Linked DNA regions of Astyanax mexicanus. The protein of the gene in region 3 interacts with the protein of the main gene of each other region in a biochemical or structural test. Links are inferred from orthologs where the notes say so. Each region holds a gene or a part of one and is shown on either strand. Other genes may lie near its edges.

What was found.
Region 1: the proteins of rab6a (region 3) and kif20a form a complex in vitro, tested with the Homo sapiens proteins (2 studies listed by BioGRID). The link is inferred for Astyanax mexicanus from reciprocal best matches to the Homo sapiens genes RAB6A and KIF20A.
Region 2: the proteins of rab6a (region 3) and bicd1a form a complex in vitro, tested with the Homo sapiens proteins (3 studies listed by BioGRID). The link is inferred for Astyanax mexicanus from reciprocal best matches to the Homo sapiens genes RAB6A and BICD1.
Region 4: the proteins of rab6a (region 3) and ocrl form a complex in vitro, tested with the Homo sapiens proteins (2 studies listed by BioGRID and IntAct, with this or other methods). The link is inferred for Astyanax mexicanus from reciprocal best matches to the Homo sapiens genes RAB6A and OCRL.

What each region holds. Positions count from the first base shown.
Region 1 is NC_064424.1:33,417,843-33,425,919, forward strand, and holds the start of kif20a (kinesin-like protein KIF20A), read left to right. Parts: upstream 1-4,832; 5' UTR 4,833-5,013; intron 5,014-8,077. UniProt on the Homo sapiens protein: Mitotic kinesin required for chromosome passenger complex (CPC)-mediated cytokinesis. Following phosphorylation by PLK1, involved in recruitment of PLK1 to the central spindle. Interacts with guanosine triphosphate (GTP)-bound forms of RAB6A and RAB6B.
Region 2 is NC_064416.1:18,196,808-18,205,578, forward strand, and holds the start of bicd1a (protein bicaudal D homolog 1), read right to left. Parts: upstream 3,158-8,771; 5' UTR 3,154-3,157; coding exon 3,033-3,153; intron 1-3,032. Other genes in the region: slc23a4 (xan_ur_permease domain-containing protein), read left to right, coding at 7,967-8,014. UniProt on the Homo sapiens protein: Regulates coat complex coatomer protein I (COPI)-independent Golgi-endoplasmic reticulum transport by recruiting the dynein-dynactin motor complex.
Region 3 is NC_064427.1:4,753,090-4,761,604, reverse strand, and holds the start of rab6a (ras-related protein Rab-6A), read right to left. Parts: upstream 3,829-8,515; 5' UTR 3,538-3,828; coding exon 3,468-3,537; intron 1-3,467. Other genes in the region: mrpl48 (39S ribosomal protein L48, mitochondrial), read left to right, coding at 6,177-6,197, 7,316-7,368, 7,834-7,865, 8,000-8,085, 8,485-8,515. UniProt on the Homo sapiens protein: The small GTPases Rab are key regulators of intracellular membrane trafficking, from the formation of transport vesicles to their fusion with membranes.
Region 4 is NC_064417.1:49,198,905-49,207,170, reverse strand, and holds the start of ocrl (inositol polyphosphate 5-phosphatase OCRL), read left to right. Parts: upstream 1-4,573; 5' UTR 4,574-5,212; coding exon 5,213-5,254; intron 5,255-7,345; coding exon 7,346-7,425; intron 7,426-8,266. Other genes in the region: si:ch73-335m24.2 (protein eva-1 homolog C), read left to right, coding at 591-988. UniProt on the Homo sapiens protein: Catalyzes the hydrolysis of the 5-position phosphate of phosphatidylinositol 4,5-bisphosphate (PtdIns(4,5)P2) and phosphatidylinositol-3,4,5-bisphosphate (PtdIns(3,4,5)P3), with the greatest catalytic activity towards PtdIns(4,5)P2.

The DNA.
Region 1 (8,077 bases), on a different chromosome or scaffold from region 3:
TTGTATTGTCCCATTTAAAAAGTTATACCACAATGTAAAATAACCAAAGAAAACTTAACTATTCCACATCTCAAAACAACAAAAATGTGGTTATAGCAAGCAGCTGTCCCTTTCACAAATCTTTTGCAGTGATTCCTGCAGAGGCACAGTATTTTCCACATGTATGCCTACTTGCATTTGCTTTATTTATTAGGCAAACAGGTCTATTGAAAACTTGGTTATTAATAAACAACTTTTACATTAATTGTATTTTTCGCACTATAAGGTGCACTTAAAATACTTTAGTTTTCCTAAAAATCGACAATGCATCTTATAATCTTAAACTTAACTGTGAATTTTACCAGTCAGGTTATAAGGAGCAGTAAAGCCACTCTGCTGAAGTGCAGCATTATAGTGAAGTTTCTCCAGCACAGAGGCTGGAACAGCAATAGCATCAGCCGCTAACAGCAGTGCTAGCCCTTTCGCTGTTCAGAGCTGATAGTGCCCAGGGTTCCCAGAACACTCAGGGTACCTCGGTCTAGCACTAGGACATTTACTAGAATTAGCACACTGCTGCTAACTGCGCTGTTGACAACATTGAAAATCTAAGCTTCCTGTAAATAAACAGAAGCACTTTACTCACCCAAATAAACAGTTTCCAGGAGAGAAATCTGTGTAAATTAACATCCAGTGCTTGTTTGACTTGAAAATATATTTTTTTAAGAATTACAGTTTTGTTTACTTAGAATTAGAAGGGAAACATGACGACACCCTTGTTCCTTACTATTGTCGCGTAAATGCACCTTATATTCTGGTGCACCAAATTATAATACACCAGCAAATAGACGTTCATTGATAGTGCGCCTTAGAATTAGGAGCTCTATAGGTGCCCTCATAACGTGATGAATCATATTTGATAGTAAAAGACAAAGTAAATAGTTGTCAACCGATTTCCATTATTGATATTTAATTTATTCAAAGCTGTAACCGTGATCCTGCTGCAGTGTGTGAGGAGGTAATGCAGCAAGGTTTCGTTGAAGTTGTAAAGCTAGATTTTGTAAATGTTTGTTTTCTTTCTTCCTTAGAGTGGAACATAGAGGGAAGATCTGGATGAAACCAGGACTAAAAAAATGTAAGTTCCACACATCCACATATAGCATTTTGTTTGTTTGTTATTTTCTAATCTTGTATTATTTGTGTGTACAGATGCCTGCGCACTCACACTGGACCAAAACACAATACACCCTTGTCTTACTCTGTCTGAGGGAAACAGAAAGGCGAAGAGGTCTTGGGAGTATCAGATGTATCCAGAACATCCAGACAGATTTGACAACATCAAACAGGTTCTTAGTGTGGAGAGTCTGACTGGACGCTGCTACTGGGAGGCTGAGTGGGATGGGAGGGGGGCGGCTATGACTGTGTCGTATAAAGGAATAGCAAGGAAAGACTTTGGATTGAAAAGTCTTTTTGGGGCCTGGAATCAGTCCTGGAGTCTGGAGGGGTTTATTAATGCTGATTACGCTCTTTGGCACAATTGTCATCTTACTCCCATATCCACACCTCCGTCCCCCTCTCACAGAATGGGAGTGTTTCTGGACTGGGCGGCGGGTACACTGTCCTTCTACAACATCTCACCCAGCTCAGACACACCCATCCACATACACACCATACACCACACATTCACTGAACCAGTACATGCTGGATTCAGGCTTCGCTCCAATTCCTCAGTTTGTCTGTGTAATATAGATTAGCCATTATCAACACTGTGAGCTAGAATCAGACCCAAGTCACTGCTCAACCTTGATTTAACACCAGTTTTCATTAAAGCTTTTTGCAAATTTGTAATATTGTGAAAGAAAATGTTAATTAATCAGTGCGTGTATCAGTGGTGGTAGCTCATGGTGCTTTTTTAAAGAATTTGAACCTTTGCCTAGCTCTGAGTTTGGTAGTTTTAATAGCACTTTGTTAGCTGTACACAGCTGCAACTCAGTGAGAGTCAGTGAGTGGAATAAGTGAGTTAATCAAGGCTTAAGTCTGTGGCTGCACAGTAATCCTTTCACAAACCTTGTTTTTTATTTCATGTTTCATGTACTTCTTGGCTTCACTAAATATATGCCTACTGACAAAGCAAGTCAAACCTGTTCTCAGATCAGGCAAACCCAACGACAAGACAAGACAGCCTTGGTTACCATATTTGTGTAGGATATACCGATGGAATGTGGCCTCCAAATTAAAGCGCCAGAATGCTCTTATTGCGCATAAACTCCAATCTATCCACAGTTATCAATATAAGCGTCTGCCAAATGTAATATAATATAATATAGGCTGCTTTTCTGTTTTCGTATGTCTATGATGTTCATTTAATCTCCAAAATCTTCAAATCAATAAACTGCAATATTGCCAGTCCAATCATTTTTGTGTCCAGTGTTTTAAATAGCATTTAGTGTGCTAAAAAGCAGCGGTGCAATGCAGTCTAAGGGCGTTTTCACACCTAAAGTTCGTTTCTCTGGTCCGAATCAGTTAATGAGTTTGTTTACTTGGAGCGTTTTCTCGCTCTGTTCGGTCTGGCTTCACATAGGCATAAATGTAAACACACCGAAATGCACATCAATAAACCACGCGAGCAGCCTGTGTCCTCTGATTGGTCAGAGCTGTCTGACACGGGAGTATGTTAAATATAAATATACGAAAAAAGTAAAGACAGCGAGAAGATTTTGTGTTCCAGCGCAAATATCTGTGCTTTAACAATGAACGCTGAAACACTGCACTTTCAAACACAGTGTTTCTCCGTGCAGCGCAGATTTATACATAATAAACAGAGTCACGCGGCTGCGAGCAGTGAATGCAGCGCAGACGGCGCGTGCATGGACAGTGTTTGTTCACAGCTGTGGTAATCAGCGTTATCTGGCTAATATATCAGTTTAAACTGTGCTTGCTTTATCAGAAGTTTAGCTCAAATAAATGGCTTATATTTAATAGCTGGATCCGATCGAGACCGGATCACATTCTCACCACAAGCGAACCGCTCCAGAGTTCGTTTGGCTAGCTGGTCTCGGTCCGGTTCTTTTGATCCGCACCCGAGTGCGATTACTGTTTTCACACCTGCTCAATCGAACCGCACTAAAGTTACAAACAGACCAGAGTTCGTTTTAACCGGACCAAATAGTGCTGCTGTGAAAACGCTCTATGTAGTCAACTTTAGACTGTGCTGTCTCTGCACTACTACCTTGTAGTAGTTCAAGACTTATAGTCTATTATTTTACACAAACGTTTCTGCATGCCTACATTGATTTTGGTGATGTAAGGCTTGAATGCCGCTGCTTGGACATTGACACCTATTTCAGGAAGCGCTCTACTGTTCTTGAGAGAATCTTGAGGTCTTCATGCAGTTTTCATGCAGTAAATTTTACAACTTTGTGCACAGATGGGATCCTATAATGATGATGATTTGGATGGGTGAGCATATACTTTTGGTAAAATAGTGTATGTAGTGATTTAACACTCCTCTAGAGACTAGCCTGTACTGGCTGAAGAACCGTCTGTACTGACTAGTGACTGATCTGGAGACTTGCCTGTACTGACATGACAACTTCACTTTAGACCTGCTTGTACTGACTTGAGACCTGTCTTGAGATATTCCTGAACTGACCTTGAACCTGATGTGTCTTTGCTTACTCTGCACTTAACTTACACTGGCTTACAAATGTCATTTTTCTGTGCAAAGCAGACACCTTGTGTTGACAATGGCTGTTAATTGTTAATTTCTCTGCACTCTGAGGCATCTAGGTTGGCCACATATATACCAGTTGTGACAGTAGAACCATATCCAACATAAATTTCATGAAAAAAATATATCTTGCGGCCAGCTCCACGGGGTGGTAGACTTATTGTTTATTGCTTATATTTTCACTTGTATTTTACACATTTTGTCGGTTGAATGTTGAATTTAATATGGTACATCCATTCCCCATTCCTGCATTTCAGACCTGAAACACACAATAAAAATTGTATTAAAGCATTTTGTTGCCATTCCTTCTGCCAACAAAAATATGATGATCCCAATCAGTTACATTTTAAGGTGCTGTATTATTGTCATTGTTACATTTCTTTTAAATTGTAAAAACACTTTTTTTTTATTGGGAACAGGAAAGAACTGCAGTAAGGCCAGCCATGTACCTGTACCTTGCTTTGTAAAGTACCTTTGTGACCCTGGGTACTTCCTTTTTCTTACAGCACTTATGTTGGAGTTTTTCCTTGTTGCTGCTACTCACTGGAAGGGTTTATATGGAAGGGTTTATATTTTAAGTTTTATTTCTTCTGTCCTGGTACCACATTTTTGGAAAAGAGCTATAGAAATAAAACAGATTTGATGATTTATTCTAATCTTCTGTATTGTTTTACAGATAAACCCACTTATTGATCACTGGAATTATGTTTATTTTGGTATATTCTAATGTTATATATTGTTAGTTACAGAAAAAAACACTGACCACAGACTTTATGATTTTACTTTCATGGGTTTCATTTCATTCTGTTTTCACCTTTAAGGTTCTAGTGCGCTTTGTTGTTGTTGTTTACGCCGGTTTGGAGCTGCTGCGTTTTATTTGTCCACCAGAAATATCCAGAAAAGGAACCTAATTTCCCAATCCACCTTAAATGGTGCTGCTGTCACATGTAGTTTATTCCATTTAAGGTGGAATGGAACATTTTACATCTGCAGTACTGTTACTGGATTTCGTTGGTTAAATTCAAACCGTCACTGTGCTGCTCACCAATCAGCATCTGCGGCGGCCGCCCCTGCGCTTCTGATTGGCTGAGGTCGGCGCACAGGGATAGGCGGAGGGGGCTCAGCGCGATGTTTGAATACGTTGGTGAGAGTCGGTCGGGAGGCAGCGAGAGGTTCAGTAACTACAGTAGTGAGGTTAGCTTTCAGTAGTTTAACACAGCAGAGATAAAGATAGGTATAAGGAAGAGGTTTAGCAGTCAGGTCCGCGGGTATTTTGGCCGAAGAACTACAGATTAAGAACAGCAAAGGTAAGAATAAGCCCAAATCTTGATGTATAACGTTAAATACACGAGGAACAGCAGTCTGGGCTAGCTTTAGCATTAGCTAGATAGCAGTGTTTATGTAAACTCAGCGAAGTAAAGTAGTTAAACCTGACAAATAAACAGACACAACTATTGCTTGGCTGATTTAGAAACAATAATAATAGCTAACCAATCTATCTTAACTAGTTAAAGTAACTAACGCTAGCTAACTAGGTTACTAACTAACGAAAGTGACTACTGATCGGTTGGACGGTTTAACCCACAGTAGGAGAGTAATTTCTGTTTTTAGTCACTTTTCCTCTCTGCACAAACACATGAGGCTATATGTATTATTTAAAGCTCGCTAACAGGTTTCAGTGTTAGTCACTGTACTTATTAAAAATGTTACCAACGTCTAACAAGTACAGAAAACAATGACGCTTCTAATTTGCATGTCTTAAGTGTGACGAGGCTGAAGTTGGTTTGATATTCGCAGCTCCAGATTCGTTTGGCTCGATATTCGCAGCCTCGTATTCCCCGGCTGAAGTTGGTTTGATATTCGCAGCTGCCGCTACACTGAACCACCGTGAACTAAAGGGAGCGTTCACAAACACCCGCTGTTTATATTAAACACCTCACAGATCAACACTGAAGGAGATAGAATGAAGAAAAGCAGTACATCTGTTTATTAACAATGTAAATATACAATATATTATTAAATGTAATTTTGTATATTGTAAAATATTTGTTTTAATTACTGAATTTATAATTATATATTACAATAAATAATTAAATATATATTTAATAAAATTATATTTTAAAAGCCATTGCGCTCAAAAAAATGAGGCAGATGTTCAAGTGTGATTTTGAAGAACTTTTTCATGTTGGGCCAGACCAAATACACATGATCTGAAGAGTACTACTCTTCTTCTTTAAGGAAAACCTGGAATTAGCCTGGCCCAAGCTGATTTTATACTTTAAAATTAACTGGCAACATGGAATACCGATCCATAATGCACAATTTTTTTATGTAAAGCTGATGTTCCAGTGTGATTTTGAAGGACTTTTTCATATTGGGCCAGACCAAATACACATGATCTAAAGAGTACTAGTCTTCTACTTTAGGGAAAGCCTGGAATTAGCCTGGCCCAAGGTGATTTTATACTTTAAAATTAACTGGCAACATGGCATACCGATCCATAAGGCAGAAAAAAGTTTAATTTAAAGCTGAAGTTCTAGTGTGATTTTGAAGGACTTTTTAATCTTGGGCCAGACCAAATACACATGATCTGAAGAGTACTAGTCTTCTTCTTTAAGGAAAACCTGGAATTAGCCTGGCCCAAGCTGATTTTATACTTTAAAATTAACTGGCAACATGGCCTACCGATCCATAATGCACAAAAAAATTGAATATAAAGCTGATGTTCTAGTGTGATTTTGAAGGACTTTTTAATCTTGGGCCAGACCAAATACACATGATCTAAAGAGTACTAGTCTTCTACTTTAAGGAAAACCTGGAAATAGCCTGGCCCAAGCTGATTTTATACTTTAAAATGAACTGGCAACATGGAATACCGATCCATAATGCACAATTTTTTTTATGTAAAGCTGATGTTCTAGTGTGATTTTGAAGGACTTTTTAATCTTGGGCCAGACCAAATAGACATGATCTAAAGAGTACTAGTCTTCTACTTTAAGACAAACCTGGAATTAGCCTGGCCCAAGCTGATTTTATACTTTAAAATGAATTGGCAACATGGTATAACGAGCCATTTTGCACAAAAAAGCCACTGTTCCAGTACAATTTTGAAGATTTTTTTAATCTTGGGCCAGAACAAATACACATGATCTGAAGAGAACTAGTCTTCTACTTTAAGGAAAACCTGGAAATAGCCTGGCCCAAGCTGATTTTATACTTTAAAATTAACTGGCAATATGGAATACCGATCCATAATGCACAATTTTTCTTTATGTAAAGCTGATGTTCCAGTGTGATTTTGAAGGGCTTTATCATCTTGGGCCAGACCAAATACACTTGATCTGAAGAGTACTAGTCTTCTACTTTAAGGAAAACCTGGAATTAGCCTGGCCCAAGCTGATTTTATACTTTAAAATGAACTGGCAACATGGAATACCGATCCATAAAGCACAATTTTTTTATGTAAAGCTGATGTTCTAGTGTGATTTTGAAGGACTTTTTCATCTTGGGCCAGAACAAATACACATGATCTAAAGAGTACTAGTCTTCTACTTTAGGGAAAGCCTGGAATTAGCCTGGCCCGAGCTGATTTTATACTTTAAAATGAACTGGCACATGGCATACCGATCCATAAGGCACAAAAAAGTTTAATTTAAAGCTGATGTTCTAGTGTGATTTTGAAGGACCTTTTAATCTTGGGCCAGACCAAATACACATGATCTGAAGAGTACTAGTCTTCTACTTTAAGAAAAACCTGGAATTAGCCTGGCCCAAGCTGATTTTATACTTTAAAATGAACTGGCAACATGGAATAACGATCCATAATGCACAAAGAAATTGAATATAAAGCTGATGTTCTAGTGTGATTTTGAAGGACTTTTTAATCTTGGGCCAGAACAAATACACATGATCTGAAGAGAACTAGTCTTCTCCTTTAAGGAAAACCTGGAATTAGCCTGGCCCGAGCTGATTTTATACTTTAAAATGAACTGGCAACATAGCATACCGATCCATAATGCACAATATTTTTTATGTAAAGCTGATGTTCCAGTGTGATTTTGAAGGACTTTTTCATATTGGGCCAGACCAAATACACATGATCTGAAGAGTACTAGTCTTCTACTTTGAGAAAATTTTGGGATTTGCCTGGCCCGAGCTGATTTTAGACTGCACAATTAATTGGCAACATGGCAGCACAAAAAAAATATTATTTAAAGCTGATATTCCAGTATGATTTTGGACTTTTTTTTCAGACCAAATACACATCAGATGAAGAGTTCTGGTATTCTCAAAATCAATGCTTTATATTCATTATTTCTGTGCAAAATGGCTTTCATGTCATGTTGCCAATTCATTTTAAAGGATAAAATT
Region 2 (8,771 bases), on a different chromosome or scaffold from region 3:
GATGATTCATTCAAAGATGCCATCAATCATAATGAGGTTGACATCACTTCTGTTTTGGTTGATAACTGTAAATTAAACTGGATATTCTCTTATGCTCCATATTTGGGGATGTAGTAGTTGTATCAAAATGTTTTTCATAACACAAAAAAAGACAAGGAATACTGAATTTGTTTCTACAAACAAATCAGTTGACTTTTGAGGGCACTAAATACTTTGGCAGGGCACAACTATGAATGGGATGGCAGTGGTGAATGAATGTACAGGCCTAAAAAGAAATGCAGCATACAGAAATCTCATGACTTACTGTAACTTACTGTCCCCAGCCTCTCAGGCTTTCATGTGACATCAATTTCCACTAGACTACATTTCACCCCAGCCTGTACTATTTCAGCATACCAACAATTCATTGCTAAAGTTGAATACACTAAACTGGGCTGAAACGAGTGTTCTGTGAAATTGACTAATTGCATACACTCTCTTTGAATTAGTAACTACAGATTAATAAGTGGTTGGATGTCAAGTGAGATGGCACGTGTCTTGTTTGGGGAAATAAACATCACAATGACCTTCTGTTACAGTCAGCAGTATACTGCTTCTGCTAAATCGTGGGAATTTAAGACATTCTGAGATATAATTTAACTAGGGTGACCAGATATCCCCTTTCTTTGTGTCTATTAGTTCAGTTTAGATCAGCAGCTCCACAGTAGAAGGAGTTTAAATACAGGCAAAATAAACACACTAATCCTGCTGATAGGGTCAAAAGAGTAATAACACTGATGGAAGAGTGAATATTATATTGGTCCAGAGGAAAAGAGGAACACAGAAAAAGGCATAGACATGGCAGAACTGCAAAAATTAAAAATCAAAACTGGGTTTGTAACATTGCTTATCTGTTTTTTTATGTATTAGTTTACATGCGATAAGTTTCATGCTTAAGTTAGTTTTTTTATACACTTATACAGGCTGACATTCTTTAATTTGCATGAGTTTAAACATTTTCACACTGAATGTATCAACTGAAATAACTTAAAAAAAACTGTTTGTTTTGTTGTTTGGTTTTTCTTCCTCCTGTTGGGATACTAAATATCTGAGAACTTTCATAAAGGCTAGAGACAATGTAATTTGGTTTGTTATTTAGAATATGAATGTTAAGAAAGTGAGCTATCTGCACTGTGGTTAAATTTACTAACATATTTTGAGGGTTAATCCTCTCTAAATATAGTATAATAATTGTGTATAAAAATACACTTAAACCACAAATGTTAGTTTATTTACATATTTGGGTATAAATAGTATATAGTATTTATTAGTATAAATTTCGATATCTGATACATCTGTGCATTTTTGGGGAGCTTATAGGGATCAGGACAATGCACATTAGTAAGTAAGTAATATTTATTTATATAGCATTTTTCTAAGACAGAGCCATAAAGTGCTTTACAGTAAAATAATTAAAACATAATAAATAAATAATTATAAAATAAATTAAACAAAAATAGACACATTTCCCATGATCCCTCTGGAAAGCCTAAAAAGTAAAAGTGGGGTTTTAAACGTTTTTTAAAAGATGCTGTAGATTCAGTGAGTCTGATATCTAAAGGAGGACTGTTTTATAATTTAGGAGCACACACAGCGAAGGTACACGTGTAATAGTGCTGTCTGTTGGTGGTAAAGCATGTTTTAACACCTTTATCAGCACGTTACCGAACAAAGAGACTAACAGAGTATATGTTACTGTGAAGATTGATTCAGTTTTGTCTTAGATGCATAAAAACGCACCGGATGCGTAATGACGCACGAGATGCGCAAAAGCGCACGAAATGCGTAATTACGCACGAGATGCGTAAAAGCGCACAAAATGCGTAATTACGCACGAGATGCATAAAAACGCACAAGACACGTAATTACTCACTAAATTATGCACAAAACACACAAAGCCACCCAGACGCATCAAAACATGCTCTAATCGTGTCAGAAATCTTACAGACTCACAACTGAAACGTGACTAAATCTCAATAGTCCATTAGATACAATATATTAATCTGAATAATGGATTTGGTTCAACCTCCACAGTTCCGGTCACTTTAAATCAGCCCACTAACATTGCTGTTAACGTTGCTCTTTGTCCATATTTTAAAGTACATCTACACAGACACACACTACTGTTTATAGACGGCGTTGCCTTCGGTGCACCCTCAAGATGACAAGGTTACGCCTTACAGTTCGTTAAAACTGTTATGAGACTTTTTAACAAAGAACAAAAACGAGACAGTGGTCCCTATTGCGTGACAGAGGAGCACGTATGTCATTTCCCTCCTCTTTTCTTCTTTACTTTATTCTCTACAGGCTGCGACTTGAAACGTGACTGTACCCTCATGACTGAAAGACTATCCACTAATGAGAGCTCATCTTATTGGATATACAGGGGGGTGTATACAGGTTGGATTTAAACTGTGTGAACTTTAAACATGGTATTTAAAACGAGGGGTTTATTAAAAATTAACAGTATATTGGAGAACAGACTGTCTTCTTGTTAACAAAAGGAAGACACATTTGAAACACCCAGAGAAAGCTATTACCACAAGTGTTTTTGAGGTAAAAAATTTAGATATCGTCCTGAGATCACCTCTAGTAACCGAAACACGTATTATTACAAACAATGTTTTATAAGATAAAAGCAAAAATGACTAGCATGTTAGCAGTTAGTCTAGTTTACATGATTTGAAATCATGCAATTATCTATTAGGCCTATATAACCTTCTACTGGATTAGTGGACTTTATGCTCCGCCACCGGTATTTAATTTACACTGGGACCATTGTAACAATGGAGTAGCTGTATTTAAATCAATTTTACAACCTTTACATGTTTATAAAAAACACTTAAATAAGTTACATAGTTTCAGTAGTTGACACGTTAAAGCATATGATATAGCAAATTGGCTGTTTGGAGTTGCTCTCCTACATTCAGCTAACCTACCTATATTTATATGTGCGGTGTACGGTATATATCTATGTACATGTGTATATTTACCTCCAGCTGGCGTTGCAGTGCGTGTAAGCCCTGTTAACTCCTTCTTTTCTTGGTTTCGTCCATATCCTTTTCTTTTTCTTGTCTTTTTTGGACAGAAAGCGCTCACAACTAGCATGACCATAGTCACCGCTGTTTGTTTACATCCGAAACTCCCGCGAGGTTTTGAGAATGGGGGCGTGGTCTGGGCGTGGTACAGCTGGTAGTATAGTGTGGGGAAGTTAATATCAAACAATTAATTAATACAGAAAATTTGTTGTAAAATGTCTTCATGTGTGGTATCTCCAACAATTTCAACATTGGTTAAGATTGTAAAAATCCTGTATTGTGAGAAAGGCATTATGTTTAGTCATGGTTAGGCATTTTTATTATTATTATATATTTTTTTTTATTTCTTAGGCATTGTCCACTGTACACCTTTGTTTGACGAAGTGTAATGTATTTACATTCAAAGTGCTGTAATTTCACTGTTCCTCCGTTAATCTAATTACAGTCCGTTTCACAACTGGAGTAGTAAAATCCCCATTTTTAAACGTTAAATCACTATTTTGCTGTTTTGTCATATAATCATAATCTGGAGAATTCTGCAGTTCAGGACAATATGCCTTTTATGGTTTTATTAATCAAATCCAAGTCCCCAAAAATGCACCCACATCTCAGTATCCTAAATTTGAGAACCACACAAGGATTCCTACCTTACTGACAAGGTTTCCTACCTTACGCACTCTTGAGATGGCAAAATTAATTGTTTTTTAAGCACAAAAGAGTCCAGATGGAACAAAAAGGAGAAATAAGAAAACTGTGCCGGAAGTGGGAACATGTTTATGGAAATCTCCATGTCGCTTTTTGGGCAACTACATTTGTCATTTTGGGCAGATGCATCTTTAAGTGCTCTAAGTAACTATATGTGTGCCTTAAATTATCCATGTGGTCCATTTTCATGTGTCCTCTTGGATATCTCCAGGTGTCCTTTTTGGTAAATCCAAGCACCTCTAAGTGTCTCTTTAGGAATCTCAACATGTCTTTAAATCTTTTTTAAGATACTCAAAGAGGACACTTGGAGATACCCAAAAGAACACTGGGATTTTATTGCCATCTCCATGTTTTTTTATTTTTCCATCTGCAAGTGTCGCCATATAGAATTTTTGGCATCTCCAAGCTTTTCCAAGTGTCCATTTGAGCATCTTTTTGGCTATATACACAGTGTCTTTTTTGGTATTTTCCAGCATCTACAGTCCCCTGTTGCTTGTCTCCAACTATCCATTTGGGCATCTTCATATATCATTTTGTGCATTTCCTAGTGTCCATATTTACAGGTATTATTTTGGGTACCTCTAAGTGTAGTTTTAGGTATCTCCAAGTGTGCTTATGGGTATCTCCAAGCTTCTTCAAGTGTCCTCTTTTGGCAGTTCCAAGTGTCTCTATGCATGTTAATGTGAATCTCCAAGTAACATTTTGGGTATCTCCAAGTGTCTTTTTGGGTATTTCCAAGTGTTCTCTTGGGCATCTCCAAGTGTCCTTTTGGGTATCTCCAAGTGTCCTCTTGGGCATCTCCAAGTGTTTTTTTTTTATGGTATCTCCAAATGTTCTTTTGGGTATCTCCAAATGTTCTTTTGGGTATCTCCAAATGTTCTCTTGGGCATCTCCAAGTGTCTTTTTGGGTATTTCCAAGTGTTCTCTTGGGCATCTCCAAGTGTCCTTTTGGGTATATCCAAGTGTCCTTTTGGGTATCTCTAAATGTCCTCTTGGGCATCTCCAAGTGTTTTTTTTTTGGGTATCTCCAAAAGTCCTTTTGGGTATTTCCAAGTGTTCTTTTGGGTATCTCCAAATGTTCTTTTGGGTATCTCCAAGTGTTCTTTTGGGTATCTCTAAATGTCCTCTTGGGTATTTCCAAGTGTTCTTCTGGGTATTTCCAAATGTCCTTTTGGGTATTTCCAAGTGTTCTTCTGGGTATTTCCAAGTGTTCTTTTGGGTATCTCCAAGTGTCCTCTTGGGCATCTCCAAGTGTCTTTTTGGGTATCTCCAAGTGTCCTTTTGGGTATCTCCAAATGTCCTTTTGGGCATATCCAAGTGTCCTTTTGGGTATCGCCAAGTGTCCTTTTGGGCATATCCAAGTGTCCTTTTGGGTGTCGCCAAGTGTCCTCTTGGGTATCTCCAAGTGTCCATTTAGGTATCTCCAAGTGTCCTTTTGGGTACTCCAAGTGTTCCCTTGGGCATTTACTTGGGTATTATTTTGGGTACCTCTAAGTGTAGTTTTAGGTATCTCCAAGTGTGCTTATGGGTATCTCCAAGCTTCTCCAAGTGTCCTCTTTTGGTAGTTCCAAGTGTCTCTATGCATGTTAATGTGAATCTCCAAGTAACATTTTGGGTATCTCCAAGTGTCTTTTTGCGTATTTCCAAGTGTTCTCTTGGGCATCTCCAAGTGTCCTTTTGGGTATCTCCAAGTGTCCTTTTGGGTATCTCTAAATGTCCTCTTGGGCATCTCCAAGTGTTTTTTTTTGGGTATCTCCAAAAGTCCTTTTGGGTATTTCCAAGTGTTCTTTTGGGTATCTCCAAATGTTCTCTTGGGCATCTCCAAGTGTCATTTTGGGTATCTCCAAATGTTCTTTTGGGTATCTCCAAATGTTCTCTTGGGCATCTCCAAGTGTCTTTTTGGGTATTTCCAAGTGTTCTCTTGGGCATCTCCAAGTGTCCTTTTGGGTATCTCCAAGTGTCCTTTTGGGTATCTCTAAATGTCCTCTTGGGCATCTCCAAGTGTTTTTTTGGGTATCTCCAAAAGTCCTTTTGGGTATTTCCAAGTGTTCTTTTGGGTATCTCCAAATGTTATTTTGGGTATCTCCAAGTGTTCTTTTGGGTATCTCTAAATGTCCTCTTGGGCATCTACAAGTGTTTTTTTTTGGGTATCTCCAAAAGTCCTTTTGGGTATTTCCAAGTGTTCTTTTGGGTATCTCCAAATGTCCTTTTGGGTATTTCCAAGTGTCTTTTTGGGTATCTCCAAGTGTCCTTTTGGGTATCGCCAAGTGTCCTCTTGGGTATCTCCAAGTGTCCATTTGGGTATCTCCAAGTGTCCTTTTGGGTACTCCAAGTGTTCCCTTGGGCATTTACTTGGGTATTATTTTGGGTACCTCTAAGTGTAGTTTTAGGTATCTCCAAGTGTGCTTATGGGTATCTCCAAGCTTCTCCAAGTGTCCTCTTTTGGCAGTTCCAAGTGTCTCTATGCATGTTAATGTGAATCTCCAAGTAACATTTTGGGTATCTCCAAGTGTCTTTTTGGGTTTTTCCAAGTGTTCTCTTGGGCATCTCCAAGTGTCCTTTTGGGTATCTCCAAGTGTCCTCTTGGGTATCTCCAAGTGTCCTCTTGGGCATCTCCAAGTGTCCTCTTGGGTATCTCCAAGTGTCCTTTTGGGTACTCCAAGTGTTCCCTTGGGCATCTCCAAGTGTCCTCTTGGGCATCTCCAAGTGTCCTTTTGGGTACTCCAAGTGTTCTCTTAGGCATCTCCAAGTGTCCTCTTGGGTATCTCCAAGTGTTCTCTTTGGCATGTCCAAGTGCCCTTGTGCCCAAGTGCCCTCCAAGTGCCCACTTGGAGATACCAAAATGGACACTTGGAGATACACAAGAGGACACTTGGAGATACCCAAAAGGACACTTGGAGATGCCCAAGAGAACACTTGGAGATACCCAAAAGAACATTTGGAGATACCCAAAATGACACTTGGAGATGCCCAAGAGAACATTTGGAGATATGCCTTGGATATGCCCAAAAGGACACTTGGAGATACCCAAATGGACATTTGAAGATACCCAATCTTCAAATGTCCATTTGGGTATCTCCAAGTGTCCTTTTGGGCATATCCAAGTGTTCTCTTGGGCATCTCCAAGTGTCCTTTTGGGTATCTCCAAGTGTCCTCTTGCGTATCTCCAAGTGTCCATTTTGGTATCTCCAAGTGTCCTTTTGGGCATATCCAAGTGTTCTCTTGGGCATCGCCAAGTGTTCTCTTGAACATCTGAATGGCATGTATAATTTCTCTCATCAAATCTTGTTTGCTTGTTGAACTTTCCCTTATTTATTAATAAAATCCAGGGAGGGATTTTTATCTGTAATTTGTCATTTGTTTTGTTCTATTGCTTAAACATTCTATTTTAGATTTAATATTTATTTAAGAGTATAACTATTTAAACCATTAATTTAATTTAATTTAATTTATTTTCATCATCTCATGATCCTCATTCTCTACTCTCCATCATGTGTAGTACCTTTTAACCTATGCATTATAATGTGTTTTACATTTGAACTATACATGTGAAATAATGCGTGATTCATTTTCCTAGCAGTGCACTTGTTTGCACTTCCAATTAAACAGAAAAATAAATCTTAGCATGGGATAAGCTGTTAGTAAATGCTTTCATTGTGCTCCTTTTACTGGTAGAGAAAGAGAGAGAGACATTGCGATTTTGCAATATGTTTGAGCATTTGTGTGTGTGTATTTATATGTGTGTATTTGTATATGTGTGTATGCGCGTTTGTGTGTGTGTGGGAGTGTGTGTATACGCGTGTGCATGTGTGTCTGTGTATGTGTGTGTAGGCGTGGGCGTGTGAGACAGTGCTCTACTCTATCAGCACGAGGCTTAAGTCAGCTGCTCTTTAGCTCTGCTGAATTGAGTTCACATGATCAGCTGATAGGTCCCATTGCATTTACAATCAACTTCAGCAGCAGCAGCAGCAGCCTTCATCGCCTCTCTCTCTCTCTCTCTCTCTCTCTCTCTCTCTCCATCTCTCTCTCTCCCTCTGTAACGTATCTCCTCAAAGGTCCCCTGTCTTCCTTCACACTGCTTCTGCTGTACTTCCTTGGTCTCTTTTCATCCTGTCTTACAAGGTCTATCTGTGAAACTGTGCAGTGTTCTGTGTTCTTCACTTTAAGGACCTACAGAACAACTCATGACTTCAGAAAAGGAGAGCAATGGGATGGACAACTATTCGTTTCCTGTAAGTATGTTACCTATATCTCAGCAGTACATTTTTACTGTAAAAACAGATGAAGTTAAACATGAATACAGAATAAGGTAACGAGAATTTCTCTCTCTTAAGGAAATAGTTGAAGAACAAAGCTTGAGTCAGTCCTCAACTCATCCGACTTAGCAAACCATGTGATGGATAAAATATGTATACATAACACTGGATTCCCATCAGGAGAACTTTAGGGATGTTTTAATGGACACAGTAATGCAGAATCTTCTACTTTTTTAATGTTATTAATATTCATTATAATATTACTAAATGATCAAGTGAGTATATAAACACTTATTCTGTAGATAAGGATTTGATTCTAATACTAAAACTAATACTTTTGCATAGTACTGAAACAGTACCAACCAAGCCATGTTTGGTTTCTTAAATAACCTTCTTTTGTTAAGAAATGTAGGTTTAAAAATGGTTTAAAAGGTTTAAAATAAGTAGTTCAAATGATGGGTAAATGTTTAAGGTTATTCACTAAAATCTAGTTTAGAAAAATGGTTCTTAATGAAAGGAAAATATTTTTTCTCTTTCTATGGTATCACTCAAATAACCATTTTTTTTAGCATTTTTTTGCATGCTACACATGTGTATGTGTGAGTAGTAAATACCTTTGGAGGTAGGTCTTATTTTTTGTTGTTATGATTGTAACACAAGATAAGGGATCATAACCTTGCTTTATCAAGGTCCAATACATGTTTTTTATTGTTTTACAACATCCATTTATTTA
Region 3 (8,515 bases):
TGTTCATGCCAATAATCAATAATAATCTCATGTGTGTACACCATGACATTAATGTAGTAACAATGCATTTATTGTCAAATTCAAAACAATGCTGAGGTTAAGCTGATAAATTTTTTCTTTAAAAATAGCTACCAACTAGCTATCTATACTACACAGTGTGGCAGTGGGCAATATGACCATATTTTATCATATAATTATTTATTTTCTTATTGTATAGACAATATTGCTTATTTTATCGAAGACACCATCAATGCTTAAAGAACACTGACCAAACAAAATTGCTTTAAAAAGTGTGATTAGTCCTGAAATGGATTAAGGCAGTACATTCTATATTGAATAAAAATCACTGCTGGATAGTATTTGTACTGTAGTTTTTAAGGATTGGTCACAATTGATGTATTTTGACTAAAATCATGTGTGCTGCTACTGAGATAAATATTGTGTGTGATATATATATTTTTAAATTAAATAAATAAACTGCTACACCACTATAAACAAAACAAGCCCCTTAAAATATAGATATGCCTAAACTTATAATAATTGATTAACTGTATAACTGTATAACAATTGATTAATCAACAGCTTTTGCCACTCTAAATCTGGCTAGTGTGCCCCAAAAAATTGGAAATTTAGTGCTGCTGCATCTATAACTATAAAATAATTTTTAATAAAACAGTGATGATTGGAACAAGTGTATTAAATTTGTATAAAATAGCAATTGCTGGACAAATCACATGTTTTAACCAAATACTACAAGGCATGTGTGAATGTCCACACATAAGACAAAACACAATACATTCTTTAAAACACCCTATCCAGATAGAGGTCTTGTTTTGATCATAACCAGCAGCATCCATGACGGATAACAGACCACAGAAGAGACAGAATTGTACAAGTTTTGAATACACATACACTGCACTGTTTCACATCTGATTTGCTAATATTTACTGAAAACACGAACACCTTTTGTGAGACATCATTGTGAGAGGAAGCGCAACATTCATTTGCTAGTCAAAATGCCTCTGAAGGCTGCAGTAGGCGGTTCATCAAGCTTGTAAGGGCAAGACCAAAGCGTGAAGCAGCCTGTGAGGTGAAGCCAGGTGTTTTAGCCCAGAGGAATCAGACTCCTACAGTATAAGATGGTTTTCCACTTATTTATATTCTGTACAATACATACAATACAAAAAGCAGTTAGTTTGGATAAGATAGATTAAACAATAATAGCTGGTTATCTGAGTGTTATCTAAAGCCAATGCCATTACTACTGCATATACAAATAGTACAAACCTATAATAAAGCTTAATGCCATTTACAGCTTACTTTTACAGGCATGTGAAATGTGTAAGCATACCCAAGTCACACTGTGAACAGGTTATGATCAGATTACTCAAACTATGTGAAAAGGTGGTAAAAGATGGACATTTTCAGGTGGAACTGTTAGAGGATTGTAAGAACCATTTACTGTTCCTCAAAATAGAAACATCAGAGCCCCACATCAGATCTCATCTGTTTACACTAGGGCTGAAGTTGGCAATAAGATACACATCATGATACAGTGGTTACAATACAATATATCACAATATATTGTGATAGTTTTCTTAAATTTGATTTAAAGAATCACTATAATAGCATAAAAACAACCATATTTATAAGATCTTAGTAAAAGTTAAATTGTTATCCAATCAGAACACTGGGATCTGATGGGGTTTACCCAAAACAAAACTAACCACAGTCTACCACTAATTTTCACCAGTATAAAATTAATTCAATCAACATTTCATTTCAAACTGCAACCTAAGTCTAAAAAAATCCAGTTAAAGCAGCTCATAATAACACAGGTCAAAGCCAAGTGTAAACAGGCTCAGAATTTCTTAACAATGAATTGACACTGATTTAGTGACAAAGTGACAAAGCTTGATTCTTTCAATGAAATCAATTATTGACTAATCTTATTTAATAAAAACTATGTTGTAAACATCATTAGATAGCTTAACAGTACAGAGAACTACTGTAACTAACTTTTTTTTATCTGTCGTTTAGGCCAAAGTAAGTGGTTCTAAAATCCTATCAATAGCAATTCGAAGACACATTCACATAGTAAAAAAAGTAGCTAGCTTGCTGTTTAAATTATTTAAACCAATTTCACAAACAAGGCAATCTTAAGGTTAAAACGCCCTTAAAGAAACGTCAAATAGCTTCAAAATGTTTAGCTAGGGCTAGCCTGCTAACATTATCTTAAATAGCTCAAGTTTATTAACAAGCTAAGCTAATTACAGCAATATTAAATCATTTAACTACACGACTTGACATATAGGCGTATAAAGAAAACTCTAAATTAGCTGAGATAATTGTTAACTAACTAATAAATATATATTTTCCAGCTTAGCCCAGAGTTAAAGCTTAACAGGAGCCTGTCTAATATTGGCTAACAGCTAGATAGCTAACCTATCAGTCTGTGGGCCGGTGTTGTGTCGACTTATGCTACCTATCGATACGTGCTTCCTACAGGCACTGCGCATGCGCCAACATACTTTTTTTTATTATATTATATTATATATCTTTATATTTCTTATATTTTAATCGTGTTTTTTATAATAATAATTCTGTTTTCCTGTGTTTTTTTGTTGACTTAGCAACCTGGAATCACTGTCATTACATAAAAGTGTAAATGACAACTAATATATATATATATATATATATATATATATATATATATATAATTCCCTGGAAAAGTATTACAGAACATTTATCTAAAATCACAAATGTTAATATACAACTTTCTCCAAGACTAATGCCTTTAGGTGACAAATCTGTATATAAACTTAGTAAAGTAGTAGCTAAAATGATTTTATCTTCTGCATTAATAGGCAAATGCCACAGCCGCCCTCGTTAACTGTATGGAAAAATAATTTCATGGAAAATTGTTTGATTGAACGAGTGTCCTATTCATCTTACTCAAAATATAAATTCTTTAATAAAATGTGGGACAAGACAGTAGAAAACTTAAATCTGACTGACTTGGAGCTGTGTAATATTTCTTAAACTTTTTCAGTGTTTATAACACTGGTGCTCATTATGTTTGGTGTGCAAACGTTACCAACAAATGTTTTTTGCCTGTTTGTTGAGATTGATTAATGGGCTATTCCTGTATATTGCAATTAACTTATTTTGAAAACAATAAACATTAAATAGAAAAAAATATTTTAAATGAATAGACAGTGCTTTAGATATACTTTTAGTGGAAACATGCTATAATATTGTACTTCTTTTGTATTTTTACCTTTAAATATACACTAGGGAAGCACAGATTGACAACGTAGCACAACTAGACAGAACACCAGGGGCTAGTTAGCATTGAGCTAACTAATAGTTAGCTAGCTACCTAACCCATATAGCTTAGCTCACTGGCTAAACAAAAATAGCGGCCAGATCCAGCAACTCCAGTCGACATAAATACTTCAACATACCGCTCTGTTCTCCGAGAAACACCAGTTTAAATTTCCTCAGCGGGTTCCCGAAGTCTCCGGAGGTCGACATGCCTGCAGCGGAGAGGGAGCGGCAGCTTGACGGGGGCTCGGTACTCTACTGGCGGAGACTCGTCCAGCTCCGGTAACCGTCAGTCGGCAGGCTGTGGGCGGGCACGGCACGCCTCGGTCAGAGCGCTAAAAGGGCGGATACAGGTGAGCCGATATGTGAGTATTTTAATCCGCCTCTAGTCCGAGTAGAAGTTCAATCCAAACCCAAGTTTAAACCCAAGTTCTGAGACCCTCCCGGCTCTCCCCCTCACTCCATCACCTCCGCTCAGACTGGCGGAGGAAGCGGCAACCTACCGTGATAGCGGAGGCTGTGATTGACAGCCGGGTCTGACCAATAGGAAGCAGAACTTTAAAAAGCGATTTAAAAATTATTATTAATAATAAAAAATATTAAAAACATGTATTAATTGTATCTGTGTTTATAGTTTTTGTCTTAAAAAATAGCACACAAATAAATCAATGTTTAAAAAAACGAACCCTTATGTTTTAGTTAGAATTTTATTATATTTTAAAATATGTGCATGTTAATATAATAATACATGTATGTATGTATATCTATGTATATATCTATGTGTGTATGTATATGTATATGTTGCTTCCAAAAATGTTTACAGATAAAGTAAATTTATAAATAAAAATAAGAATAATTTCAAATAATTTTGAAGAAATTAATTAATTATATTTATGATGGAATTTTGACACAATGTGAAGAACAACTGCTTAAAAATGATATTATGACATGAAGCATAATTTGGCCAAAAATGAAGAGACAGGGATTATATATAAAATGTGTCAGTAAGTAACTTAAGTGTTCTATTTAGATAGATAGATAGATAGATAGATAGATAGATAGATAGATAGATAGATAGATAGATAGATAGATAGATAGATAGATAGATAGATAGATAGATAGGTAGATAGATATCGTATCTAAATTTCTACATTTTGATCTCATATAAGGCTAATAAAGTTCAATTCAGCGTGTTTCTCTGCAGAGATTCAGGGAAGGTTCAGTCTGGGTGAAAGAGGCGGGACGAAGATGAACCAGTGTTTGGTTGAGTCCGCGAGCCGCCACGTCACGGCCCCTTACGTCATGGTCTCTTTAAAAACGCCTGCATCATCACCATCATCAGGGGGTTTAGGAAAAGGCTGAACTCCAGATTGATGTGAAATAATGACACAGATATGAGTCACATCCGACACTTGAACATTAGCTCAGCGGAACTGATCAATACTGAACTCATTAAACACCCACTGCTGGGTTTATTCTTTATAATGTTACACTGGCCTCCCTCTAATCCCTTATCTTATACAGAGACACACTTGTGAGCACTGAGCACAGTTACTGCTTCATTGTTAAATTTAACATAGTAAAAATACACATTATACAGTCAACAGTCAAAAATCACCTCTGTATATAATATATAATATAATTATTTAATATATATATAAAACGTATAACACATAGATGTCAAATAACATAAAAATAAAATACAATATGTTACCTCTATATATTTCTGTTCTATGCTTTATATTCATGATGTGTCATATTTTTACATAGGAAATCTTAAGTAAGAAAATCGAGAGTGAACTGGTTTCTTTTTATTTTCATCTTGGAATGAATTATGGTGATATTTTGGAGTCTCTTGCGGTGAGATGTGGCATAATTCTAAGTAAAAGACACTTTAAAAGTTGCATACTAAAACCTTCCTTATGCAGTCATATTGTGCACAACCCCTTGAGAGCTGCTTGCTTTGTTTGTTGTGAAACAAAACTACCTTGTGATTTAATAACTTGTTTCCACGCTTTAATTATCTTGTTCCCATCCATTAGGATCTCGTTCCCACCTTCTAATTATCTTGTTTCTACAGCTTAAAAAGTCATGGCCATGGGAATTTTTTACATGATGTCACCTTAGGGGATCTGTACATTTTTACCATTAGAATAAAAGGATAAAGTGTAATTAATTAAATTTAACTAAGTAAATGATGTGAGGTTGCTGCAGTTGGTCATGTCTAGGCTCAGCAACAGTATGTGCTGAAATATACTAATTATAGACCAGGTTATTCCATCAATGTTTTTTTTTTTTTACTTCCCTGATGACACGGGCATATTCCAAGATGACAATGCCAGGATTCATGGAGCTGGAATTGTGAAAGAGTGATTCAGGAAGCATTAGATAATCATTTTCACACATGGAAACCTCATTGAGAATCTGTGTGAAGTGCTGGAAAAGAGTTTGAGCAGTGGTCAGACTCTACCATCATCAATGCTGCTGCAAGATCTTGGTGAAAAATTAATACTAATTTTGTGACATTGCAGAGGCTTATTGAAACAATGCCAGAGTAAATGTGTGCCAAAATCAGAGCTAAAGACGGTCCAACAAAATATTTAAGTGTGTGACTTATTTTTGTTCTGTCCAGGCAGTGTAGATTACCAGTACTGATAATTTAATGTGCTCCTCTCCAGGAGGCGGCAGTACAGAGCCTCTCCTCATTCAGACTCAGGATTCAGAGAAGAAGAAATCGCAGCCGCAGCGCTGCTGGAGTGTAGAACTGACTATTACTTAATGTTTATAGAGATATAGAGTTATAGAGTTATAGAGTTTAACTCGGCGGAGTTTAAGCTGATCTCTGGAGGATGAACTCGGTAACGGGGAAGGTAACTGCAGTACTGGTGGAGTGTTAATACGGCGTTAATGTGGGGCTGCTCTGTGGTAAAGGTCATGTGTGCTCTGCTGTGTGTCTGTCAGTACACTGTTACTGTAGTTTTTTGGGGTAACTGGCTCTCAGCTCCATTCATTTATATTATTTTGAAGATAAACACAGGTTATAAGTTGTCCTGAGGTAATAAATGTTGCTAAAACACTCTGTAACTACGTTAATTAAAAAATACAATCTTTTTTTAAATAGATAATGTATTGTAGCGTTATGTGTTTATGTATGTAATTGATGTGTTTAATTTAACATGTATTTAAATGTAAAGAATGTAAGAAAATATATTTATTAATTTTACAGGTTGAGTCCCATGTAGAACATTTTCCCCTTCGATTTTGTTGGATAGAAGCTAGTCTTATTAACATTATATTAAAAATATACAGGAGTAATACACTTAATTTCAATTTATTTGACATACAAAAATGTATACAAGATTAATACGCTGATTAAAGGTTAATATGCATTTTATAAAATAAATTTTAACAACATAAATAGATTTTTTTATATAAATCTAACAATTTCATAAACAGTAATTTACGAACACTCTGATTTTGTATAAAATAAAATAAAAAAATGAACAAATATATAGTAATATACCAACAATAATATACCATAAAACTAAAGTGCATGCATATAATCTGCAACACCCAATTACTAATTACAATTACTAATTACTAAAATACTAATAAATTGGCGATATCATGTACATTATAATATGGCACACCTCTATTGTATACATAAGTAAAGAACTCAACAGTAAATTAAAAATATGAGTATAATAAGAACTACAAAAACAGAGCAATAATATGTGCCGTGGGATGGTAAAGTGTTAGTCCACAGTAAAAAATATGGCAGATAAAGTGTCTGTGCATTATAAACATTCAGTGAGGTACAGTATATGTATAACAGGATTGAGTGATTGAGTTCTGGATAGTACTTTAAATTACTTTGTTTGCATGCTCTCATGTATGAAAGTTTTGAAATGTATTTCTGAAAAGTGGGAACCCTGTGTATATCAGTCTACACACAATAACAGGTTATTTTATATTATTATTTTTACAGATGTTGCTCATGCAGAACACACGAGCACTGGCCCAGGCTCTGTCTCTGATTCGGTGAGTTTGGTGCATTGCTTTAGTTCACTGCTCTTAATCAGTATCTCACATATAGCCCTGCCATTTTCAGCATTAACCCTCTTCCTAACACACCTGATTTGTTGTAAGGAGGTTTTGGGAGAATGTAGAATTAATGTGTTGAGCTTTTGTACTCTAGGAACAGGGCTGTAGTAGGGTTGCAATGATTAGTATTGGTCAACATAATTGACAATGTCAGAGTATCTCACAATTAAATGTGTAATAGGCTTTTAAATGACATTTAAGTTGTTCAGTTCTTTCTGTCATTTTAAAGCAATAGAAAAAGCTAGGAATAGGAGCCATATCCACAGGAAGCTAGATAAAGGGCATGGCAGAAGTAATCAATAACTAATTGAGTAATTGGAAAAACTATCGTCAGATTGGTTGCAGCAATATGCTGTGATTTTTACTGATTTGTTATTATACCTGTGTATTTTTCTCTTACAGGGCACCATTGTTAAAGCAACAAATACCATTGGGTAGGATGGCTGTTTCCTTTTCTATTCAGTGTGATGTTTGATTGCTGTGTTATTTAAACATAATCTCTAATTATTTATTTCGGCCCAATATGATTTTTATTTAGCATTGAAGTAAATTTTGTATTTCTTTCTAGGTTTTCTGTTCTCAGCTGACAGACAGTACAAATCCATGCCTACTCATGGGATAGGTCGATACAGGTTTTTACTTCCTAAGGAGCAGGTAATTTTAAGAGCCCCCTTTATTTTACAAAAGCAAAAAAAAAAAAAAAGAATTGAGATACATGTGCTTTTAACAAGCAAAAACTCTGCCAAAAAAATTGCAAGATTTCTAAAATATTCTAAATGTAGATTCGTTTTAATCTGATTTTATATCTAAATGTTAATGCTACAATCAGAATAAGACTTTGTGAGTTTTTGTGCTTAGTTTAAAATAAGGGTTTTTTTTTGTTGTAATGTTGTTCCTAATATAAGCAATTTTAAATAATCTTATGCTTACAATACTTGGTAAAACAAAAAAATAAGCTTTTTTGCTTTGAAACGAGAGCATTTCACTTTGTTTAGTTTTCTGCAGTGCAGTAGTACTCTCTCCTCACGTAAGATTTACACAATTATTTTTCAGGTAAAGAAGAAGAAAGAAAAACCTCAGGCGA
Region 4 (8,266 bases), on a different chromosome or scaffold from region 3:
GTCAGCAACAGCAGGATGACGTCAAGTGACCTACAAAAAGAATGGCAACAAAAATATTGTTGGTAGTATATAGAATTGAACAACTATATTCATTTTACTCAAACATACAGTATACCAATAAATAGACATTTAGAATAATTGATCATTTTATATAGTCTCTTTATGTTTTTTCTGGAGCTGTATATAAAGAGATTTATTTTAATGTTTTTTTATATTTTAGATTTTTGTTCCACACACACATTAACACATAAAGGCATAAACTAAACTGTATTCAGAAAGTGTCCCAAGACTACTTTTCAGCTCTGTGTGAAACAAATGAAAGCTCTGTGTACTGTGAAAGATAAATCATCATATAAGCTTAATTAAATTTATGTCACATTTCCAATTAGTCAAATGGAGCAGAGTCAAGATTTATAGACTTTTGCTATTAAAAGTGAATATAAATAAAAAAATTCTTCTTGTTTTTCTTGAGTGTGTCATCCTTCCACAATTCCACAAGTCTGATCATTCTTTATATGATGGATAGAGTGAATAAATCAGTCTGGAAATGTTCGATCTTTCTTCTTTCTTCTTCTTTTCTATTCTCTAAGGTCTCCCGGAGACGGTGGCTCTGTACTTCGTGTCGGGAATCTGCGCCGGCCTGGTGTTCCTGCTGTGTCTGTTCGGGCTGAAGTCCACTCTGGTGCGGGACGTGAAGGACCTGGTGTCTGAGCTGGAGGACGAGCTGAAGGCCGCCCGCAGGTCCCGCAGGGGACTGATCGAGGACTTTGATGACGATTATTCTTCTCTGGACTCCGGCTTTCGTCACCTCACTCGCTCCTACCGCGCCGCAGACATGCTCAGTCCAGAGATGGTCATGACTGTGGTGATGGAGGACAAAAGGACGGAGGAGGACAGGGACAGAGCAGAACTGCCGAACGGAGACCTCTGGCCGCACTGTAACTCCAGCCCTTACGCCTTCCACAAAACCACGGCTTCTTCTACCTGAGACTCAAATCTGAACAAAAAGCAACTTTACTAACAACAGACTAAATCTAATTATCTTATTCCTGCATTAATGAAGCAATGGAACAAACCTGAGTGAAGCCAAATGTCACAAACATTATGGTGCTCTGAAATGAATTAAAAAATGTAAAAAAAAGTGTAGGTCCATTCCACTGAACGGGTGCCATTTCTAGTTGTAACTCTTCCAAATTAAACTTTTTTTAAAAATATATATATATATATAATTTTCAACTCTAAATTGAATAATGCGTATTAAACTATTCAAAACATGTATTGGTCAAACTCAGGCAGCTTTACTTAAGTTTTACACGGTTTCTAATCTGAAGATAGTTACAAAACTCCTGTGACATATAAAAAGCTTGTTTACATTAGAAAAAAACACTTATTCCTTGAATTTTTCTTTAATGTCTTTATGTTAAAGAAATAGTTGCATGTTCAAATTATTGATATTTATGACAAAAGAATCATTCCTGGTAATGGCACTCATTTCTGTTACTGGCACTCACTTCTGTTACTGGCACTCACTCCTGTTACTGTCACTTAGTCCTGTTACTTTGTATGTTTTGAGTAACAGGAATGATTTTTTGGATAGAATTTGCAAAACCATGAAAAATATCTAAATGGGAATCTTTTCCCAGGTGCAGGGTAGGTTAGCTAGTCTGGCATTGTTAATACAACAAATAACGTTATTAGATGTTTGTGTTTCGTTTTTGTATGATTTACTGACACCAGAAGTTAGCAATGGACTTCCCTCTGTACTAATTATGGTAAGGTTGACTTGTATAATACTGAGAAGTAGTACTGGGATGCCCCAGTTATTATTGTTTTGTTAAATTATTTATTGAAGACTAGACTATTAGACTTTCACCACCATTCTGAATTCTATATTTCTTTAAGCCTAATGTTGAGCTGAAACAGAAATTAAAGTAACAGGAAATAGTTTATAGCATAGAATTTGCAAAAACATGAAAAATAGCTAAATAGTGGCTATGCTAATAGCACGAGGGAATTGAGCACATTCTAGTGATTTTCCAAAAATGTGTATTTTAAGAATAAACAAATAAAATCTAAAAATTAATTTAGGTAACAGGACTGAGTGTTGAGATTGAACTCTCAGTTATCGTTACAATAAGATCAAATATACAGAAAAACTAATGAGTGAAATTAATTTTGGTCTTCCTGTGATCTTCAGAAAAAACAGCTGATGTCACTTCCTGTTGTAGAATGTTCCAGACTCAGGACTGAGTGAAACCCAGAGACACAACTACTCTAAAATGTGTATTTTAACTTAAACATTATGAATTCATTATGAAAAAAAAAAAACATTTTAAAGCATAGGTGGGATTTGGATTCACACAACAATGCAAAAAAAAAAAACATCTCTGAGGGATTTTAATAATTATATTTCATGGTAAAGTTTATAGTTAGAGAGTGGGGACAGGTAACAAATGCTTTTTTTTCAGTGTTCTAAGTAGTTTTTATTAATGTTTTTAATTTCACATTTTACTTTTGCAATTAGGTCAATGTACAAGACGCTATTTTTAATAATAAAATGTATTTTAAAGCTATTTCGGGCGCACATTTATATATGTAATTTCCTAAGGACAGAAATGGCACCGATTCTGTGGAATGGCCCTGTAATTTAAACACAGTAAATAATAAGTAATGTATGCAAAATTATACTCTTAAATAAAAAAAAAATTGAATGTATATTTAATCATGTCTAATTAGTCAGATTTTTTTCAATGGAGCAGAGGAAAATGCCTTTATAACAAATATTATGGAGGTCAGTATATATATACTCATTAATATAAGGAGTTTCTCACATAAAGACAATTTGCTATGGTGTAATTGTATGCTATGGTTTTACTTTAACATTAATCTACAATACTCAACAAAAGCTACATGGTTATGCAATGTTCCATCAATTCAGCATCAATTCAAAAGTTTTTCTTATTATACAGGTTTTATTTCTAAGAGATGAAAGTCTAATGCGTTTCTTGTAATGTTTTTTTGTAAAATGTACAGACATAATAAATACATTTAAAACATGTAATATATGGCAGTATGTTTTTGTCAGAATATTTTGTGGTGTGTTTTGCAGACAGATTAATTTGCTTATTCTAAAATTGATCATATGATTTGTGTTTGGCCAGCAGAGGGAGGCTTCTCCATTTAACACAGACTGAACACTGTTCTATAGTAAACTGTACAGAACTGAAACTGAAACTTTTATTTGTCTATATATTTATAATCATAAAAAACATATAGGCGTGGTCTGAACTTGTTTGTACATCATTGAAAGTCATCATTAAATGGTTTCTATCTATCATTTATAAAGGCAGCATTTTAATCAGCTGACTAATATTTTAATTTTATTTATTGAATCATGGTCATTTGTTTTGTTACAGTGTGACAGTAATAACTGTCATTAATGATTCAAACTGTGAATCATTTCCATTTTTGCTGCAGTTTTTAGATGATCTTATCTTATATTTTTGCTACTGTTGTTTGAAAGAACCTGCTTACTAAGAATTTCTTACTGTCACAAGTTTATTACACCTTTGAATTACACTAAAATAATGGTAGTGGGGTGTGGGGGCTATTTTTAAGGTGAAAAGGAGATAATGAAGTTGTGGGGACGAATCCCCACCACTTAATTATCTGGTTCCCACACCTTAATAAGTCACCCCATGATTTAATTGTGGGGACAAGATAATTAAATTATGGCGACAACATATATGGTCAGGACTTAATGATCTCCTTCCCACGCCTTAATAAGTTCATCCATTTAATCAAGCCATTGAATGAGATAAATAATTTGGGACTTATTTAGATGGGTTAATAATTAATAATAATCTTGGGGATGACTTAAGGCATAAGGCATAGGAACGAGACAATTAAGTTTCCCCACACTTTAATAAGTCATCCCCACCACTTAATATTCTTGTTCCTACACCTTTATAAGTGACCACACGACTTAATTATGGGGGCAAGATCATTAAGTTGGGGGTTATTAAGGCAAAGTCGTGGGGATGACTCATTAAGGCGTGGGAACGAGATAATTAAGTTGCAGGATTATTTGGCCAGGATCTAATTATCTCATTCCCACACTTTTATAAGTTGTTCCCACACCTTAATAAATCATTCCCACCACTTAATTGAGGGAATGAGATAATAAGTCATGGGGCAACGTATTAAGTCAAGGGGATTACTTATTAGGTCGTTGGCCATATAAGTGGTCCCCACGACTAAATTATCCAGTTCCTATACGTTGATAAGCCATCCCCACAGCTTAATTATCTTGATGCCACACCTTAATAAGTTGTGGCCACGCATTATTAAGGCGTGGGAATTAGATAATTAAGTTCTGGCCATATAAGCCGTCCCCACAACTTAATGTCGTTTCCACGCCGTAATAATTCGTGGCCACGCATTGTTATTATTACTATTTTTATTTCTTTTTATTTTAATGTGACCTTAAGGGCTCAGTATGCGCACATTCTGCGCAGTGTGGTGTGTCCAGACGCTCCGCCCGCTTGGCCCTGCGGTTTTCTCACGCTGATGTGGAGCAGCGATGCTAAAGCTAAAGCTAATGCTAACGCTAACTAACATGCAGCGCTGAGGCTGCGGACAGCTGGCGGGGCGGCGGCGCGGACAGTCCGGCGCTGAGAGAGCCTGAGGACCGGGGCTACCGCTGTCCGGCTGGAGGGTTCTGGGGACGGTTCGGCTTGTTAAGCGGCGGTTTGAGAGTCGGGGTGAAGTCGTTAGTGTGTCTGTTTTTATACTAAAGCTGCGGGGAGTCGGTTCTCCGGTCTCTGAACTCGCGGGGGAACAGTTTTTTTATCGGGTTGACACGAAATTAGCTGAATTAACAACTAATCTTTGTGGTTTATTGAGGAGATTTGGGGAAGGAGAGGGTCGTGGCCCGGTGAGTTAGTTAGTTAGCATAGCTAGTTAGGCTAGCTAGCTCCGCGTACAGCGTCTAACAGCGTCTCGCTGAGCCGGTATCTCGGGCTGAAGGCCGGCCGACACGGGTGAACATTCTGGGGCGGGGACTGGAGGACTAACCGGAGGAATAACCGGAGGACTGGAGGAAAAACAGTGGGAGGAAAAGCTGCAGCTGCAGCAGCACAGCCTGCTAACCTGACCGGAGAAACAGGAGATTAATGGAGTAAAGCGAACTAAGTGACAACAGAGCTAAAGTATGGATTCTTCTCTGGATCTCTGCGAGGAGAAATGTCTGACTGTATCCTTTAAAATGGTTTAATTTCGGTTTAAAAAAAAGCTCTGACTCTGCTTACTGAGGCTAGTGTAGCTAACAAGCTGCATATAGATTTATAAACAATCCAACTAGCTAGCTAACAAGTTGGTTAAGTTAGTTAATTATGTAGGTTTAGGTTATTTTAACTGAATAGATCAATTTAGATCTGTTCAGTTATCTAGTTAGTTATCACGTCCTAGTTTTATCTATCTATCTATCTATCTATCTATCTATCTATCTATCTATCTATCTATCTATCTATCTATCTATCTATCTATCTATCTAGCCTATTATTGTTTAGCCATATGACAAAAACATTAAATAAAAATAATAACGTATATAAAGAATGCACTACTGCAACAAAATGAATATTTAAATGTATTATTGCATACAATATGATACAGCACACCCCTAACTGAGATATTTAAAAAAAAATACGAGTTTTATCAGATTTGCAACAGAAGTCAATGATCCAGAATGTCATGATACTAGTAATGCACTTCTCCAAATATCTCCATATATCCAGGATAAACACTACTGCACAGATATGATCTTTAGTACTCTCTAGTAGATATATAATGGGAAATGAGAACAGTGTGAATTTTATGTTTGCTAAGAACAGCAAACAAATAGTACCCTGATGTGATAAATAGGGGTGGGTGATATGGCACAGTATTTCAGGGTATAATATCGTTCACGATATTCAAAAATGTTGGTGATATTATTGCGTATGATGCGATATGGCACACCCTAAGTTTAGAGTACTAAGAAATACCAAGAGAGTGAAGTTAAAATGCTTTTATTATCATTACATCTGAAGACAGGTGCAAAATTATGTTCATCAGGAACCATGATGCAACATGGAACAACAATACAATAGACAACATCAGCTTCATCTCTCTGTGAGTTGAGGAGTCTGAATGCCTGGTGAAAGAAGCTGTTGCAACTCTGCTTGTTCACATTGCAGAGAACCTCACCTGGTCCCTCAACACCAGCTCCAAAACCAAGAAAGCCCAGTAGCGCCTCTACTTCCTATACTAAAGAGAGCATCTTGAGTGTCTGCGTTAATGTCTGGTTTGGGAACTGTAACATCTCGGATCACGAGACCCTACAGCGGATAGTGAAGACAGCTGAGAAGATCATTGGAGTCTCACTCCCCTCCATCACTGACATCTACACCACACGCTGCATCCGCAAAGCCTTCAGCATTGTGAATTTTCGCTCTGAAGATAACAGACCGTCCGAGCCTCCACCACTAGACTCTGGAACAGTTTCTTCCACCAGGCAGTCAGACTCTTCAACATACAGAGACACATACCAGCTCAGTCAATCCGAAACATTTCTTTTTTTTTTTGTGACCAATTTTTTTATTAGAATCCGAAACATTTTAAGATCTTTAAAAGTCTACTCGAGTGCAGTTATGATTGAACTGGCTCTCATCAGGGCCACCCCATGAAAGGAAGTGCAAGAATTAAGAGAGATAGTTCATCAGTGTTTCCAGCGCCAGAAATCGCAAGTTAACAGCACCCTGGATAAGAGCATCTAAAGTAGTTTAGTATTTATTTATTTATTTATTTATTTATTTTTTTAACACTTTTAAGTTACTACATGATTCCGTACGTGTTCCTTCATAGTCTGAATGACTTCAGTATCCAGTTGACACTGGCCCCACTACTTTAAAATACATTGATTTAATCCAATTTGTATGTATTTTTATTCATTTTAAAGTTAGAAAGTTTTACTGTGATGCCTAGTCTCTATGTAAGTTATAAATATGTAAAATTTTGGAAATGGGCCAAAAATATATTTTATATCAGTGGCCTAAAGTGTTTTTAAACTGTATAATAACATTGTTAATTACGTTAATTTCTACTGCAGAAATAAACAAACTAAGATGTATTATAAAAACAGACCTATTTCCAGTGTAATATTCCTTTAGGACCAGTCTAACCCTACTAGAGGAGCACTGATGATCAGTCAGGTGTTAAACATATCAGCTTTTCTGTAAATCTCCCCTCTACATTTTTCCTTTTATCTTCCACCGCATGCCTTTGACTCCTTAATTGCAATGCTTAGACGGTGAGGGGGCATGAGCTGAGGGCTGGCCAGCGAGAACCAAGACTCCTCTCGTTACTGGAGCGCTCGGGACAGTTTACGTGAGTATCTATCTGATTTAAATTGTCTTTCATTTTTCTTTCTCCTGATATTAAATGCAAAAAATCTCCAGCTCTGTGTAGAAACCTTTTATTGTGTATTATATGAGCAGCTATGAGTTTTTTTGTACATTTCTGTACAATTTGTATCTGTTTTGCTTGTGCGTGTTGTGTTGTGTTCTGTTCTGTATATTAATACTATTAAGCAGTCTGATAAGCATATTTTCTTTAGATTTGCTTTTAAAGTTCCCTATTTATGTATATAGCTATTTCTAAGTGGCTTATTACTTTCACACACTCTATTTTGGCCTTAAAACAAGTTTATCTCAAGCTGTGAAGGTTTTGCTTCAGTGTGGAAGTGTGGAACTAAGAAACTGATCACTATGGATGTGTTAAAACTCTTTGGACGATTGTGCACTGAGGCAGAGTGTGTTTACCAGTCATGTTTTCAGGGTTGTACAGGCTGTGTGTGAGAGAGTCTGAGAGAGGGAGAGTGGCGTTCCGGCCTGCCAGCATGCTGCCCATTATCCTGCATTCCACCCTGGTGTCCTAAAGCCTAATAAGCCTCACATGAGCACACAAACTCTCTAACTGCATTAAACGTGTCCACGCTGAGCCTGGCTCTGGGCTGAGGAACAGTGCCGTGAGGTGTAGAGGGCTGTGAATGCTGTGTGTGCTGTAGAATGAAGGCCTTGGGCAGTGAATGTGGTCACCAAACAATGGGCTCAGGGAACTGATACTAGTAAAGTGGCCTACTTACAAAAAAAAAACTCAACGGCATAAAAACCCAACGTTTTTGCCCATTTTGTTTAAGTAACACTGTTTGAAGATGGTTAAAGGCTTC